2 linked regions of the Ovis aries genome follow. The protein of the gene in region 2 purifies or fractionates together with the protein of the main gene of each other region. This does not show direct contact. Links are inferred from orthologs where the notes say so. Each region holds a gene or a part of one and is shown on either strand. Other genes may lie near its edges.

Region 1 (7,293 bases), on a different chromosome or scaffold from region 2:
GTTTGAGTCCCGTGGAACGTGAGCAGGATCCAGATTCCAAGAAAAGAGTGACTGGTGGAAGGAGTCTTGAGAAAGGTGCGGGGCGTTAGTGTGCAGTGCCAAGGGTCATTGGAGCAACCAGAAATCTGGCATCTGAAATACTACGTAGGAGTCTTCCTGCCTTCTTTTAAAATTAAACTCCATCTTCTGCATTTGACTTTAGAAAGACGGTGTCTATTAAGGATGGGAGAACACACCCCTCCCCCCATACACTGCTGTCTGCAAGGACCTGAGTGGGGCTGCGCAGAGACTGCAGCAGGTGGCAGCTCCCCACCTCCACCCCGTGTGGTCCCCTCTGGAGAGGAAGCACTGGTTCCAAAGACTATCTCCTTCCTGAATAACTCCAGGGCAGAGAGATCTTTCCAGAAGGGTGCTTGCAGATGCCTCGATAAAAGTGGAATTGCCCTCCAGGGCAGCCTACTGCAGGAGCTAGAAGGACCTGGGGCTTGGCCCAGCCCCTGGAGGCGGGGAGGGACTGGGGTGTCCGAGGGAACCTGAATTCCTATTCCTCCTTACTAACTGCCTGACCTTAGGCAAATTGCTTAAATTTTCTCAGACCACTCATCTCTAAAATGTGTCTCTAATACTACCTCTTGGGGTTAGCTAAGGATGGCTACTGACCCGGAAATGATGCATCCCTCCCCTCACCAAGCCCACTGGGCCAGGTGGCGGGACCAGGCACTGCGCCTTCTGGAGCCCACCTTAGAACAAGACAGGAATCAGGGATTCCATACCAGCCCCACTTAGAACAATCCAAGAAGCGTTTGTGTGGGAGGTGCTAGCGAAAGCTTGCAAACTCTCCGTGCCTCTCTCAGGTTTCTTTGTGTGGTCTTCTCTTGTTCCTCCTCCACACCCTGCGGTGCCAGGCCCCGGCGCGGAACGATGAAGGAGGAGTGGACTGCCTCGCCCCTTTCTCCAGGCTGGGAGGAGCCAGTTGGCATCTCCCGCCGCCGGGGACCGCTGCCCACCTCCACCACGAGGGGTCACCAGAGTGCCGTGGCTGCAGCCGGAGTTGGGGAGGGGGCTGGAGCGGGGAAGGGACGGCCAGGAGTGGCCAGGAGAATGCCTGTACATTTCCTCATTAAATTGTTTTTTACAATCTTGTTGTGATCCTCTTTAACTGTCTTGCTTCCTGAGATGGCGAAGTCTCCAAAGGGAAATTTGGAAACCCTTTTATCCCTAAGCCCCAGGCCCAGAGAAGCTCGTCTGTGGCGGGGCTGGGGGCTTCGGGAACAAAGTTTGGAGAGTGGATCCGTGCTTCGGCCACTCCCCGGTAGTCCCAGGGCCAACCAGGAGATGGGGCTAGCGGGGTCGGGGGAACCGAGTGACTCATCCTTCTTCCTCTGAAAAGGCTTGGAGCTCAAGGAGGCGGGGAGCTCAGCCTGGATTGGGGGGCGGGGGGGGGGGGCGGCATCCTCTGGGCAGCCGGAGTTTCTCTTTTCGCTAAGTGGCCCTGGACTCTAAACCCAGGTCGCTTTTCCCCAGCCTGCGCGCTCCAGCTGCCACGTGCTCGAGACGCGCCCACACAGCAGAGAAACAAAGACAGCCAAGCAATGGGGCTGCCAGCAGCCGCCTCGACATTTAATAAATGAAATTCCATAGCTGGGGGTCGATCAGGGGTGAACGGGCGGCCACAGCTCGTGGGCTGGGCGCCCAGTAAGAGCGGCCAGGCCACTCCTCCCATCACCAGGGATGGGGCCACCAACCCCACGGACTGACTCCTCGGTGAGGGTGCGGCACGGGGCGGCAGGTGGTGCTCCCCACAACCCCACCCCACCCCGCGAGGTATCTGTGCTCGCAGAAACCCTGCCAGATGAGCGGCTGGCTATGGGGGGAGGGGATGCCTGCAAGATTTTTTTTAAAGGTGCGATTATAAATACACCCTGTGGATCGCAATCTCAAACAAACTTGTCAATCTGGGCTGCAGGGAAAGGCGATGGAGGCAGCTTTGCATATATTTCGGGTGGAGTGACTCATGAGCATTACTCGTCTCCCCCAGGGAAGCAGCCTGCCACCCACAAGTCACTGCTGCTCTGGCACCGCCGGGATAAAATGAGCCAACTCCAACACCCCTGCCCAAGGACTCCCCTCCAGCCCCCTTGCTTTTGAGCAGGACTCCTGGCCATGGGGAACCCTCCCCTAACCTGGGGAACCTGCCTTAATCGTGTCACCACTACCCTGGCCCTTGTGCCTGGACACCCTCGCCCTCTCCCAACAAACAGAGCGCTGGCCTTTTGCTGCTGCAGGGATGGGGGTTGGGTGCACGTGGGGCACACGTGTATGGGGGAGCATGCTCAGTGCAGGGGTGCACCCATGTGAGGCCTGCGCCTCCTCTCCCTGTCACCCCCACCCCTCCAATGAGTCTCTCCGTGAAGTCCAGGAAGAAAGACCACCACAGAAAGGATCCCTATATGTTATATGTCCACGCCCTAGACACACACTTCTGGTGGCTCAGAAATACCGTTGATGTACACAACACTGATACCAAGTGGATATTTCTGCACACAGGCACAGTGTTCACTCCTCAGGAGGTCTTCAAAAAAAAAAAAAAAAACCTGTCCATTCTTTTCTCTCTGGATGAAAGCATGGAGGACGGATAGATATCTTTTTAGCCCAGAGACTGGGGGATTCACTGCATGACCTCTGGTACCTGGCCGTCCATATTGTTGGCGGTGGGCTAGTCAGCAAGAGTGTGACCACACACACACACCTGGACACACAAATGTGGATACACGGGAGGACCGGAACGCACAATTCAACCCAAACAGACAAGCGGGTACCTCGAACCACAGCCCCTGGATAAGGGGGGCCCGGGGCCTCCAGCTCCTCACTCTTCTCAGATGCCCAAGGGTCACTGTCCCTGGGCCCGAGCTCCTCAGGCCACCCTCAGCCTCGAAAATGAAGGGGACGAGGCTGTGAGGCGAACTCGCAGCGTCTTGGCGGCAGGGGCGCACCTAGGCCCGGGCCGCAGGCGGCGCTGCGCGCTCGGGCCTGGCGGTGGCGGCCCCTTTAAGGGCCCCCGCCCCCTTCCGCCCGCGCTCCCGGCTTCCTTTCTCCGGGAGGAGCGGCGGGCTGGGCCCGGCGGCGGGGCGGGTGTGCGGGCCGCCCCTCCCCCGGTGGGCCGGGCCTGCGCCGCTTCCTGCAGGAGCGGCCCGGAGCCGCGCAGGGGGCGGAGAGAGCGAGCGGCGGCGGGGCGGCGCGGGGCGGCGCGGGGCGGAGGGCGCCCGAGGGCGAGCGGGCGGGCGGGCACGGCGGGTTCCGGGCCAGCCCCGGGGGCGGACGGTTGGCCGGGCGCGCGGAGCCTAGCCGGGGCCTTGCCGGAGCCGGGCCGGGCAGCAGGGGCCGCCGCCGCCCGGGCCCGCCGCCCGCGCCCCCCACGCTGGCCCAGAGGGCTGCGGCCGCGTCGCCGCTGAGGATGTCCCGGAAGGGGCCGCGAGCGGAGGTGTGTGCGGACTGCAGCGCCCCGGGTAAGCGGGGCCGGGCCGGGGGCGGGACCGCGCACCGAGGCGCCGCCGGGCGGGCGCCGGGGCCTGGCGGGCGCGCCGTGCGGGGCCGGAGGGCGGGGCGGGGCTGGGGGCTGCGGCCTCCGGTCTCGGCCCCCGCCCGGGCCGCTGCGGAGCCGCGTCCTTGGAGGGAGGGCCGCTCAGGGGGCCGCGGTTTGCTCGCGTCCGTGGACCAGCGAGGAAGGACATTCCCGGCGCCGCCTCCCGCCCCTCAGCTGGCGCCCCCCCCCCGCCGCCCCCCCCGCCTTCCATCTCTGGGTCCAAACGGAAGCGCCAGCCTAGGGTGGCCAGGAGGACTGTGGCGGAGGCCGGCCGGGCTTCGGAGGTGGGGGCGAGTGTGGTTTTGTGTCATCGCAGGGCCACCCCCGCGTCTTGCACCTGCTGCTCTCCTGGTCTGCGCGCCCGCAGGGGTGGCGGAGGGCAAGGGGCAGAAAGCCGGGCAGATGGGCCGGCGTGGGGTGGGGGTTGTCTGGATTCTGTTTTCTCGGGAGCAGACGGCGGGGTGGCTGCTCCTAGGACTCCCTGCCCCTGGCTCCCAAGGCTCCTCGCAAGGCCTGGTGTTCAGAGCCACCACAAGCTTGGGCATCGTCCCCTGAGGCGTCCCCAGGCCTGGTAACGGGACAACGAGCCTCAGCTTTTCCTGTGCTCCAGTAAGGCCTGCTTGGAAGGTGGCTTGGCCATACCCCAGCCTGGGCACAGACCTCTCTCCCTGTCCCCTAGCCCAGCCTTACCAGAAATGGGTAGGGAGCATGTGGAGGGGTGCCTACATTCCCGGGACCCACCTGGCTTTGTGGCCTGCCTCCCGGCTGTATTTTCCGTGCTGTTTCCCTTCTTCCCACCAAGTCAGGTCCAGGCTGATGTGAAACCCCCCTGACCTGCCAAAGAGGTGAGGAGAAATGACCCGGAAAGGCTGCTCCCTTCTGATGTGGGGGGACACTACCAGTGATCGGACTCTGCAGCTGCCTTGGGGAAAGGGGAAGCCCTGGCCCTTGACCATCCTCTCTTTAGAAAAGGAGCTATCTCCCTGGGAGACCTCCGGGCAGGCTCAAGGGGGATCCATGAACTCCAGGAGGACTCTGGGCACAATTAAGTGGAGAGTGTGGGCTGCTGTTTTGTGGCCCATCACTTCCTGCTACCCTTTGGACAGGCCCAGGGCTTCCCTGGTGGCTCAGTGGTAAAGTATCCACCTGCCAATGCAAGAGACCTAGGTTCAATCCCAGGGTCGGAAAGATCGCCTGGAGAAGGAAACGGCAACCCCCTCCAGTATTCTTGTCTAGGAAGTCTCATGGAGAGAGGAGCCTGGCGGGCTACAGTCCATGGGGTTGCAGAAGAGTCGAACACAACTGAGAGAGGACCCCAATAGGTTGAGACCCACAGATGCGCTGGTGGTTTCAGTGGCTCCAAGCTTGAGTGTTTGGGCACTGTGGGATCCCAGGAGGTGCATGGTGGTCTGGGTGGCTGTGACCCTGAGGCCTCCTCTCAGGGCATGTCATGGTCTCTTAGAGGTCCCTGAGGAAGCTGTGTGTCCAGGGATGTGGGGTGTCCTTACCTCTGGTTAGTTAGAAACTACTATTTCCTTACCCCCAACTGCAGGCAGGTCTGGGGGATTAAGCGCTAAGAGGAGAGCTTGCCTTCTGTGTGTTGGTCCAAGGCTGTTCTGCCCCTCTGCCGGGCTGCCCCTCTGCCCCGCGGAAGGAGGGAAGGAGCATTGGTGGGTTGGGAAGGTGTGGCTGGGAGGGGGTTGCTTAACAGACACTTTATCATGGAAACCTGGATTTTTGTGTTGCCTTTGTTTCTAGCTTACTCTCTGACTCATGGCAAGAGTTTTCTCATGCTGAGTCTCAGTTTCCTCAACTCTGAGGCCAAGAAGTTGGAGTAGGAATGGTTTTTGAGGACCATCCCATCTCCAGTCTGCGGTCCTGATTCTGGGCAGGGGGACGCAGGGCAGCGTTAACAAGGCAGTTGTCCTTTCTCCATTGCCTTTGACTACTTGATTGGAAGCCTCTGGATGCCCGTTGGGCATGGGCAGGAGTGGTGTGTCTCTCATGTGTTGGGGTGCCTGGCTCCTATCCCTGGTCCTCATCCCACAGAGTCCTGTGTGCTCCTGGGAACCTCCCCACCCCCACCCCACCCCCGGGCCCCGATCCAGAAAGCAGGTCAGGAGGAGGCAGGTGCTGAGGTGAGGATGTGAGGCGTGCAGGGTGCCGATAAAGTCTTGCTCACCCCAGCACCCAGCATGGTTTCTAGCACAGAGCAGGCATTCCCCCAAGGGATTGGAGGCTTCTCAAGACCCTGACTTCTCCTTGGGGCATTTTTCAGTCTGGGACCTGTAACAGCCCAGGTAAGAGGCTGGAGAGAAACTAGCAGTTTGGAGCCCAGGCCCAAAGCCCCCTCATTGGTGTGTGGTTCCTACCTGAAGTCGTAGGCCTCTCACTGTATTCGGAGCCCTGCAGACCCAGCCCTGGGAGCGGGGTTGTTGTCTCTTTGTGAGTGGTGAATTTGCGGGGTCTTGAGGTAAAAGGTGAGATGAGCCTGACGCCAAAGAGCCCCATCCTCCTCCCAGGCCTGGGTGCATGAGACAAATCTTGAGTGTGTTGTGAGCGTGGCACGGCTGCCAGCCCTGGCGGCTGGTGCTGTCTCGCCAGGCACCGTCTGTGACCCTGCCTGCCTTGGGAACCATGGAGGATGTGTGTCTCCCCTGTCCCGCCCGTCCACTCCACCTGCCGCACAGCCGGCTCATCTCTAAGGGCGTGCGTGTGGCAGCCCGCGGGCTCGGGCAGCCCCTGGCACAGACGTGAAGCCCTCACAATGCCCATCTTAACAGGCATCTTGAGTGAGCAAGGCTGGCCACCAGCTAAAGGTGTCTGGGAACCTGCAATTTCATTTGTCTCTTCATGATGTAAATTGTGGGCCGGGGTGAATGCTGAGCTTTTTGCTTTCACTGAGGTGTAGCTTATGTACCCCTGGAAAAGGAAGTGGCAACCCACTCCAGTATTCTTGCCTGGAACATCCCATGGACGGAGGAGCTGGTTGGGGGGGGATGCAGGGGGGACCTATAGTCCATGAGATCGCAGAGAGTCAGACACGAGTTAGCACACACTCACAACTTCTGTACAACAAAGTGCCTGTACCCTACTCTGTAGCCTGATGAGTCTTTACCTGTATACATACATAACTCTGTAGCCACAACTTGAATCCAGAAGTAGAGCGATCCAGAAGTAGAGCCCGTGCAACACTCTAAAGGGCTTTCTGTGTCAATGCCCGCACTGCCCCCCCCCCCCGCCCTGGCCCCCACAGGGAACCGCCACTGTGACCTCTGTCCCCATGGAGTAGATTACTCTTGCCTGCTTTCAAGATGATGGGCTTGTCCCTCTTGCCCAGGTGCCGAGATAGGAAAGGCTGGCCACTGGCTCCAGAGACCACTGGTGGCTTTGGGTGGTGGTATGAATTCCCCTCAGTAGAGGCGACCATGGGCTTGGTGCTGCTTCGCATTATTCCAGGACTCCTGCCACCTGGCACACAACACGGGACCCCTGCACCCCAGCCCCACTGGGAAACTTGGCAGATGTTGAGGAGGTGGCCGCACCCCCTAACCCTCACGTTCCCTGTCCTTTCTGCCCCGAGTTTGGTCCTGGAAGCCTTTTAGCGGGCATGGGTCCCTTAATCTCAAATTGCAGTAGCCGTTTGACTTTCAGAACCCCTTCCTGGCCTTTCAGCTTCGGAACTGGTCTAGGTGGGGCATGGGGGCGCC
Region 2 (7,193 bases):
TACCACTGAACCAGCTGGGAAGTCCCCATTACTGTTGAAATGATATCTAAAAAGCCTTGTGCATGTTTACCAAGTGCTGCATACCTTAAGACATTCAATTTAAACCTGAACAGGCCTAGAAATCATATTGACCCACCCATTCATTTCATAAATGAGAACATTGGAGACTAAGTGATATTCTTATGATATTAAATAACCTGTGGCAGAAATAAGACTAGATAAGACATTATTTAATAGTTGTTTCTGGATAAGACCAGAGTAGGAAGAGCAGGATCTAATTATTTAAAGTGTCTTATTTTTGTAACTTTGCGTGTGACAGAATTTTTTTTCTCTGTAAATGTATTATTAGAGTGTCTTCTACTAGATACTAGAGATGGTACTCAGGTAAGTAGTGTATATGAACTTCCCTTAGACTTTTCAGGGACTATTTCATTGATAGGTGTTTTTCTTCTGTTCAGTGTTTACAGGCATTGGAGTTTTTACATGCTAATCAAGTGATCCACAGAGACATCAAAAGTGACAATGTGCTTTTGGGCATGGAAGGATCTGTTAAACTTAGTGAGTAACAAGTGAACAGATAACATTTATATGTTACTTACAATTTTCTGCCTTTTAAGTAAAAACTCTTTTCCTGCTATTAACATTTTTATGACAATACATGGAGTTGGGGAGATTAGCAGTAAAAAGATATGGACCATCAGCTGGACAGCTTGAGTTTAAATAGTGGATCTACTACTCTTTGCTGAATAATTTTGGGTGAAATCATATAATCTGTTTATGTTTGTTTCCTCATTTGTATAGGGAAAATAGTAGTACCTATCTCAGAGAATTCTTCTGAGTACTAAAAATGTAAAACACTGAGGAGCAGTGCCTGGTACTATTGTAATGTTGGTGCTGTCTTCCAAACGTAAACTTGGATTTGTCTCTGCTACCTGTTGGGGTAGATTTTTCTCATTATGCTGTTCGTCTTTCTTTGAATTTGGTAGATGGTCTAATTAGGAGAGGCCTGTGTGACCCAGACATCAGAGATGACACTTTTAGGAAGAAAATTGTTTGTAAACCCCTTTCCCCTTTCTATCATGTATCAGACATGATAGAGTCATGGGGAAAAAAAACTCTCTTCCTCTGCTGGCTATAATCTCAGTTCCACCCATGCCTTCTGGAGGATTCAAGAACTTCTACTGAAGTTTCTCCAACTATGCAAAATGCAAGACATTTCTTGGATTAGGCGACCAAAAACTATTTCTTCTGTTTGCCTAGAGAATTTGGCTCCTTTTTCAACATCTCTTTTTAAAAATAGATTCTTCAGGGCCTTCCCTGATGGTCCAGTGGTTAAGACTCTGCACTTTCAATGTAGGGGATGTGAGTTCAATCCCTGGCTGGGGAACTAAGATCCCATAAGCTCTGTAGTCCAGCCAAAAAGTGGGGGGGAAAAAAAAATCCTTCAGAGGTTATTCAACTACAAGAATGAGGATTTAGTTTCTATTTGATGGTCAAAATATATAGTTAATAATTGTAATTTTAGTGGGAAAGCTAGAAATTGATATTCTCATACATTTTGGGTGGATATACAGGTAAACTAAATTTGACCTTTTTTAATAATATTTTACCCTGGCTCTGCCACTCACTAGATGAATGACCTTGGTGTTCCTCAGTTTCCCCATTTGTAAAATGGAAGTCATAATAATAAATGTACCTATCATAAAGTTAAAATGTGGTATGTTTTTTCTTATGAGGTACTTGAAACAGTTTTATAAGCACTCATTTTAGCTATAAATGTTATGATTTGACCTAACAATTGCCTTCTTAAGACTGTCTGCTATAGAACTGCTGAACATATGCACAGCAATAAGTACAAAAACGTTCTCTACAACCTTGTGAAGAAAACCAACAATATCTGAAATAATCTAACAGTACAGAAATGGTTAAATACATTATGGTATTTTTATGTTCTGTAAAGTTGTGTAGTTACAATAATAAGGTAGGTTAGTATAGTAATACAGAATGATCTCTAAAAATAGTTTTAAAAAGCAATTTACAAAGTATCCTAAGTGAAATATTTAAGTAAAATAAACCAATCAGTTTGTAGATATTTTTTGTATATTTGGAAATGTATAACAGAAGTCCCAAATTGACAGTCCTAAATGTTAACAGTATTTACATGTGGAATAGAATGAGTTTAACAGTAGAAGGAAGGAAACGGTTCTAGATTCTTATCTTGACTTTCCTACTGAATTAACGCTGGGTTCTAAATTAGGTATCCTGCTCCTCAGTTATAAAATGAGGTGGTTGGAATAGAGTAATGCTGGTGAAGACCTTGTGGGTACAGTTGTAGTTAAATGTGTTCTTTTTCTAGACTCTCTCACTGACTCATATGCTTCTTATTAATTCTAGCTTCTGTTTTTTTTCTTCAAAAGTAGTGTCCACTTCCTGACCTTTGCCTGATTGACAGTGGACACAGTTTTGGTGTCCAGCTTTGGTAACTTTTTCTTTTAGATCTTTTTCAACTTTATTAAAAGTTTTAGGATAAAATTAATTGTTTAGAATAAAAACCTTCCTAATAATTTACCTTCTTCTTTTTGGGAAGTAAAAGTTAAAAAGTGAGAGTGTATAATATCAAAATATCTGTAAGCCCATTCTGGTTTACTTTATTAATGCATTCTTAAAAACTAAGAGACTGAATACTCAAGTATAATTCATTAAGTCATATGAAGTAAACTCCTAAGACAACCCATGAACACCATTAACTCAAGATGTTTTGTATTTTTTTTGTTTTGTAGCTGACTTTGGTTTCTGTGCCCAGATCACCCCTGAGCAGAGTAAGCGGAGTACCATGGTTGGAACGCCATACTGGATGGCACCAGAGGTGGTTACACGGAAAGCTTATGGCCCCAAAGTAGACATCTGGTCTCTGGGTATCATGGCTATTGAGATGGTAGAAGGAGAGCCTCCATACCTCAATGAAAATCCTTTGAGGGTAAGACCAGTTAAACACTAAACTTACTTTCAGAAAATAATTTTCTTTAAATCATTAATTTAGAACTTGCATGTGCTAGGAACTGGCCAAGGATTTAGGATACAAAATTGATTAAAAACAACAAAAAAACAACCCCAAAAGCCCAGTCTCTTCTCTCACTCTATATCTAGAAAGTATTTGCTTCTGAGTTATTGAGTCGAATGTGTTAGGTTAAAGAGTTTGTAATTTTTTGATAAGCTGTATTGTTTCTTAAATTTGCACATAAATAAGAATTTGCTCAGTTTTCTGTAGAATTAAGAGACGCTAGATATAAGCTTCAGGTTATTGACTTTGAACTTTGGTCTTTGTACCCCCAGGTACAAAGAGGAAAGCAGGATCCCTTCTGTGAGGAGGCTGGGTAGATGGCAGTGTTAAAGCCCACATTCAGACAAAAGAGTGAGGGTCCCCAGAAACAGATGAAGTCAGTAGACTTTAAACGGTTTCATGTTCCAGCAGCTGAGGTAGAGTTCCAGCTTTCCTTCTTTCTCTCTTTTTCCCTTCCTTTCCTTCCTCCCTTTCTCCCTTCTTCTTCTCCTACTCTCCCTCCCTCCCCTTTTTCCTTCCTTCTTTTACATTACCATATATCAGTAGTTATTAAGAAAATGCAAATCAGAACCTCTATAAAATCACTTCATGCCTACTAGAATGACTGTAATAAAAAAGGCAGAAAATGATAAATATTGGTGAGAATCTGGAGAAACTGGAACCCTCGTGCATTGCTAGTGGGAATGTAAAATGGTATAGCACTTTGGAAAACAGTTTGACAGTTTCCTTAAAAATTGACATTGAGTTACCATGTAACTTGACAGTTCCTCTGCTAGGTAAATAACCAAGAGAATTAAAAGTATATATTCACCCAAGAACTTGTCCACAAATGTTCATAGCAGCATTATTCATAATAGCCAAAAGGTAGAAACAACCCAAATGTCTGTCACCTGATGAGTGAATAAATAAAGGTAGTATATCCATATATATATACAAGAATCCTTAAGGATATAGTATATCCTTAAGGATTCCAGCATATATATATATATACTACTTTTGTTTATTCACTCATCAGGTAACAGAGATTTGGGTTGGAAAATCCCATGGTTGGAGGAGCCTGGTAGGCTGCAGTCCATGGGGTCGCTAAGAGTTAGACATGACTGAGCGACTTCACTTTGACTTTTCACTTTCATGCTTTGGAGAAGGAAATGGCAACCCACTCCAGTATTCTTGCCTAGAGAATCCCTAGGATGGGGGAGCCTGGTGGGCTGCCATCTATAGGGTCACACAGAGTCAGACATGACTGAAGCGACTTAGCAGCAGCAGTATATCCATACAGTGGAATGTTATTTAGCCTTAATGAAGGGAAAGATGTACAGATACATGCAGCATTGAACCTTGAAGGCATTATGATAAGTGAAAGAAGTCAGGCATAAAAAATTACATATTGTCGGATTCCCTTTACAGTTGATTGATTCCTCATTTGTGGTAGGGTAGTTAGGTTCTATAACACAGCAAACACTGAATTAACAAATACTGAACCATTGCTTCTAGAGGAAGTCACATTTTTGTTAACTGATCAGTACCTCACCTTGCTTTATATCTATTTCTGTTTAAATACACTTTAATATATATTGATGATTCAGTCATGTTGGACTTAGAGCCACTGTAACTCATGCTTGAATTTGGCTTATCAAACCAGTACATTTTCTCCATAAGGCATGTCATAGCCTTCTTGTCCTTAGGAATGCTGAATAGTACGCTGCTTTTCACCTCTCTGCAGATTTTTATAGATGACCACAGAAGCACTGAGCATATTGATTTGGAGGTTACAGATTAATTATAGTGAACAGGTAAATTCACCTATATGGAATCCTCAAATAATGAGGATCAGCCGACTATGAAGGCTCTGGAACAGGCACAGCCATAGAGACAAGAGATTAGTGGTTTGCAGCGACTGAAGAGAGGAGGAAATGTAATACATGTGAGTGTTCTTTTTGGAAGGATAAAAATATACTGCAGTTAGACATTAGTGATAGCTGCATAGTCTTGCAAATATACTAAAGACCTTAAATTGTACGTTTTAAAAGGGTGATGTGAATTACATCTCAGTGAAGTAATTATTTTAAAGTTTTAAATTGCCATATATGACTACAGACTTACTGCCAGAAATATAAAAATTTTTTCTCCAAATAAGTTGGACATGCTGTAAAATGAGCTACAGAGGCCAGTATAATGGGTATATGCAGAAGGTGCTCTGTCGGGATTGTGTTGGATTTTGATGCTCATTTTCCTATTGCTTTTCATCCTCTTGCAGAGATTCCAGTTCAACTGAGCAATTAAAGTACTTATATAGAAGTGATTAATTTTAAAACGCTGCAGAACAGTTTTTAAAACTGCCAAACTGGTTCATTCATACGTTTGGCAAACACTGATTTGAGTACTTGCTCAAGACACTCAGATCAGTAAGGTGCTATGCAAGGTACAGGCTTAAAGAAGCAACAAGAACTTCTGCCACTATGGAAGGAGGAGAAAGACAATTTTTAAAATAGAAATAATATGTAATATGTTAAATGAGGGACCCTTAAGTCCTGGGGCCGGTAGGCAGAGAGTCAAGTGTCCAATATCCAAAGAGTGGTTAGGGTGGCTTCACTGAGGTAACATTTGAACAAAGGAAATAAGAGAGTGATACTCAGTTACTTAAGGGAAGAACATTTCCATCATGTGTAAAGACCCTAAGCAGGAGCATTTCTTATGTATTCAAAGATCCATAAGGATTCCAGCATAGCTAGCCTGCAGTTGAGTACACAGCAGGAGAAAAAAGGGGGATCAGTTAAGACATGAAGCCAACTGTGGTACCATAGGCCTTTGTAAGTATTTGGCTTCTGCACAAGTAAGACGAGGAGACTGTTGGAGAATATTGAATAGAGAGGTGAAAGTGATCTTCCTTCTGTTTTAACAGGATCACTCTTAGATTTTGATGGGATTACTTTGTTGAGAAGAGGTTTTCAAGAGAGGCAAGGGCAGAAGCAGGAAGACCAGTTAGGAGGCTGATGCAGTGATCCAGGCAAGAAATGATGATAGCTGAGACCTGAATGGTGTTGGGGGAGGCTGGAAAAAGTAGTTGGATTCTGAATGTATTTTGAAAGGAGAGCCTACATAACAGAGAGGGAGAGATGCCCCTAGGAGTTTGGCCTAAGCAATTGGAGTGATGAAACTGAGGTTCTCCTTGGCTGAAATGAAGAAGACTGCAGGTAGAGAAGAGAAGTGGAGGTGGCCGGTACCAGATCAGGAAGTAACATTTTTAACTTGTTTTGGACATGTTAGGTTTGAGGTACCTATTAAGATATCCAAGTGTCCATGTGGATATATTGAATAGGCTGTTGAATGTGGAAGTCTGGGATCTAGGATAGAAATATAAAATTGTTAGCTGTAGAATGTTTTAAAACTCTGAGATCAGGTCACCGGGTCTAATGGGCATAGACAGAGAATAGAATAGATATGGCTCTCATGTCAATGTATGGCAAAACCAATACAGTATTGTAAATTAAAATAAAGTAAAAACAAAAAAAAATAGAATAGATATGGCTTGCCTCCTGAGGCGCTGCATAGTTAAGCATTGATCCTAGTTTTTTAGGATATATTCAACTTATCAACTTTTTTTGGAAGTGCTACATCTATATTTATAAGTTAATTGGTTGTTATTCAGTCACTCAGTCATGTCCAACTCTTTGCAGCCCCATGGACTGCAGCATATCAGACTTCCCTGTACTTCACCATCTCCTGGAATTTGCTCAAATTCATGTCCATTGAGTCAGTGATACCATCCAACCATCTCGTCCTCTGTCATCCCCTTCTCCTCCTGCCCTCAATCTTTTCTAGCATCAAGGTCTTTTTAATGAATTGGCTCTTCACATCAGGTAGCCAAAATATTGGAGTTTCAGCTTCAGCATCAGGCCTTCCAGTGAATATTCAGGGTTGATTTCCTTTAGGATTGACTGGTTTGATCTCCTTGCTATCCAGGGGACTCTCAAGAGTCTTCTCCAGTTCAAAAGCAGTAGGCACCGAAATAATCAAGTCACAGTATACCATGCAGTTTTAAAAAGCAGAAAAATACAACCCATAATGAGGGGGGAAACCAGTCTATTGAAACCATCCCAGAACTGACACAGATAAAATAATTCATGTACAA

The links. The genes of interacting proteins can lie anywhere in the genome.
Region 1: the proteins of PAK2 (region 2) and GIT1 purify together in Homo sapiens (affinity purification with mass spectrometry; 5 studies listed by BioGRID and IntAct, with this or other methods). This does not show direct contact. The link is inferred for Ovis aries from reciprocal best matches to the Homo sapiens genes PAK2 and GIT1.

The regions. Positions count from the first base shown.
Region 1 is NC_056064.1:20,779,389-20,786,681, reverse strand, and holds the start of GIT1 (ARF GTPase-activating protein GIT1), read left to right. Parts: upstream 1-3,254; 5' UTR 3,255-3,454; coding exon 3,455-3,506; intron 3,507-3,529; exon of another isoform or gene 3,530-4,428; intron 4,429-7,293. UniProt on the Homo sapiens protein: GTPase-activating protein for ADP ribosylation factor family members, including ARF1.
Region 2 is NC_056054.1:192,139,214-192,146,406, forward strand, and holds part of PAK2 (serine/threonine-protein kinase PAK 2), read left to right. Parts: intron 1-458; coding exon 459-558; intron 559-2,780; coding exon 2,781-2,977; intron 2,978-7,193. UniProt on the Homo sapiens protein: Serine/threonine protein kinase that plays a role in a variety of different signaling pathways including cytoskeleton regulation, cell motility, cell cycle progression, apoptosis or proliferation.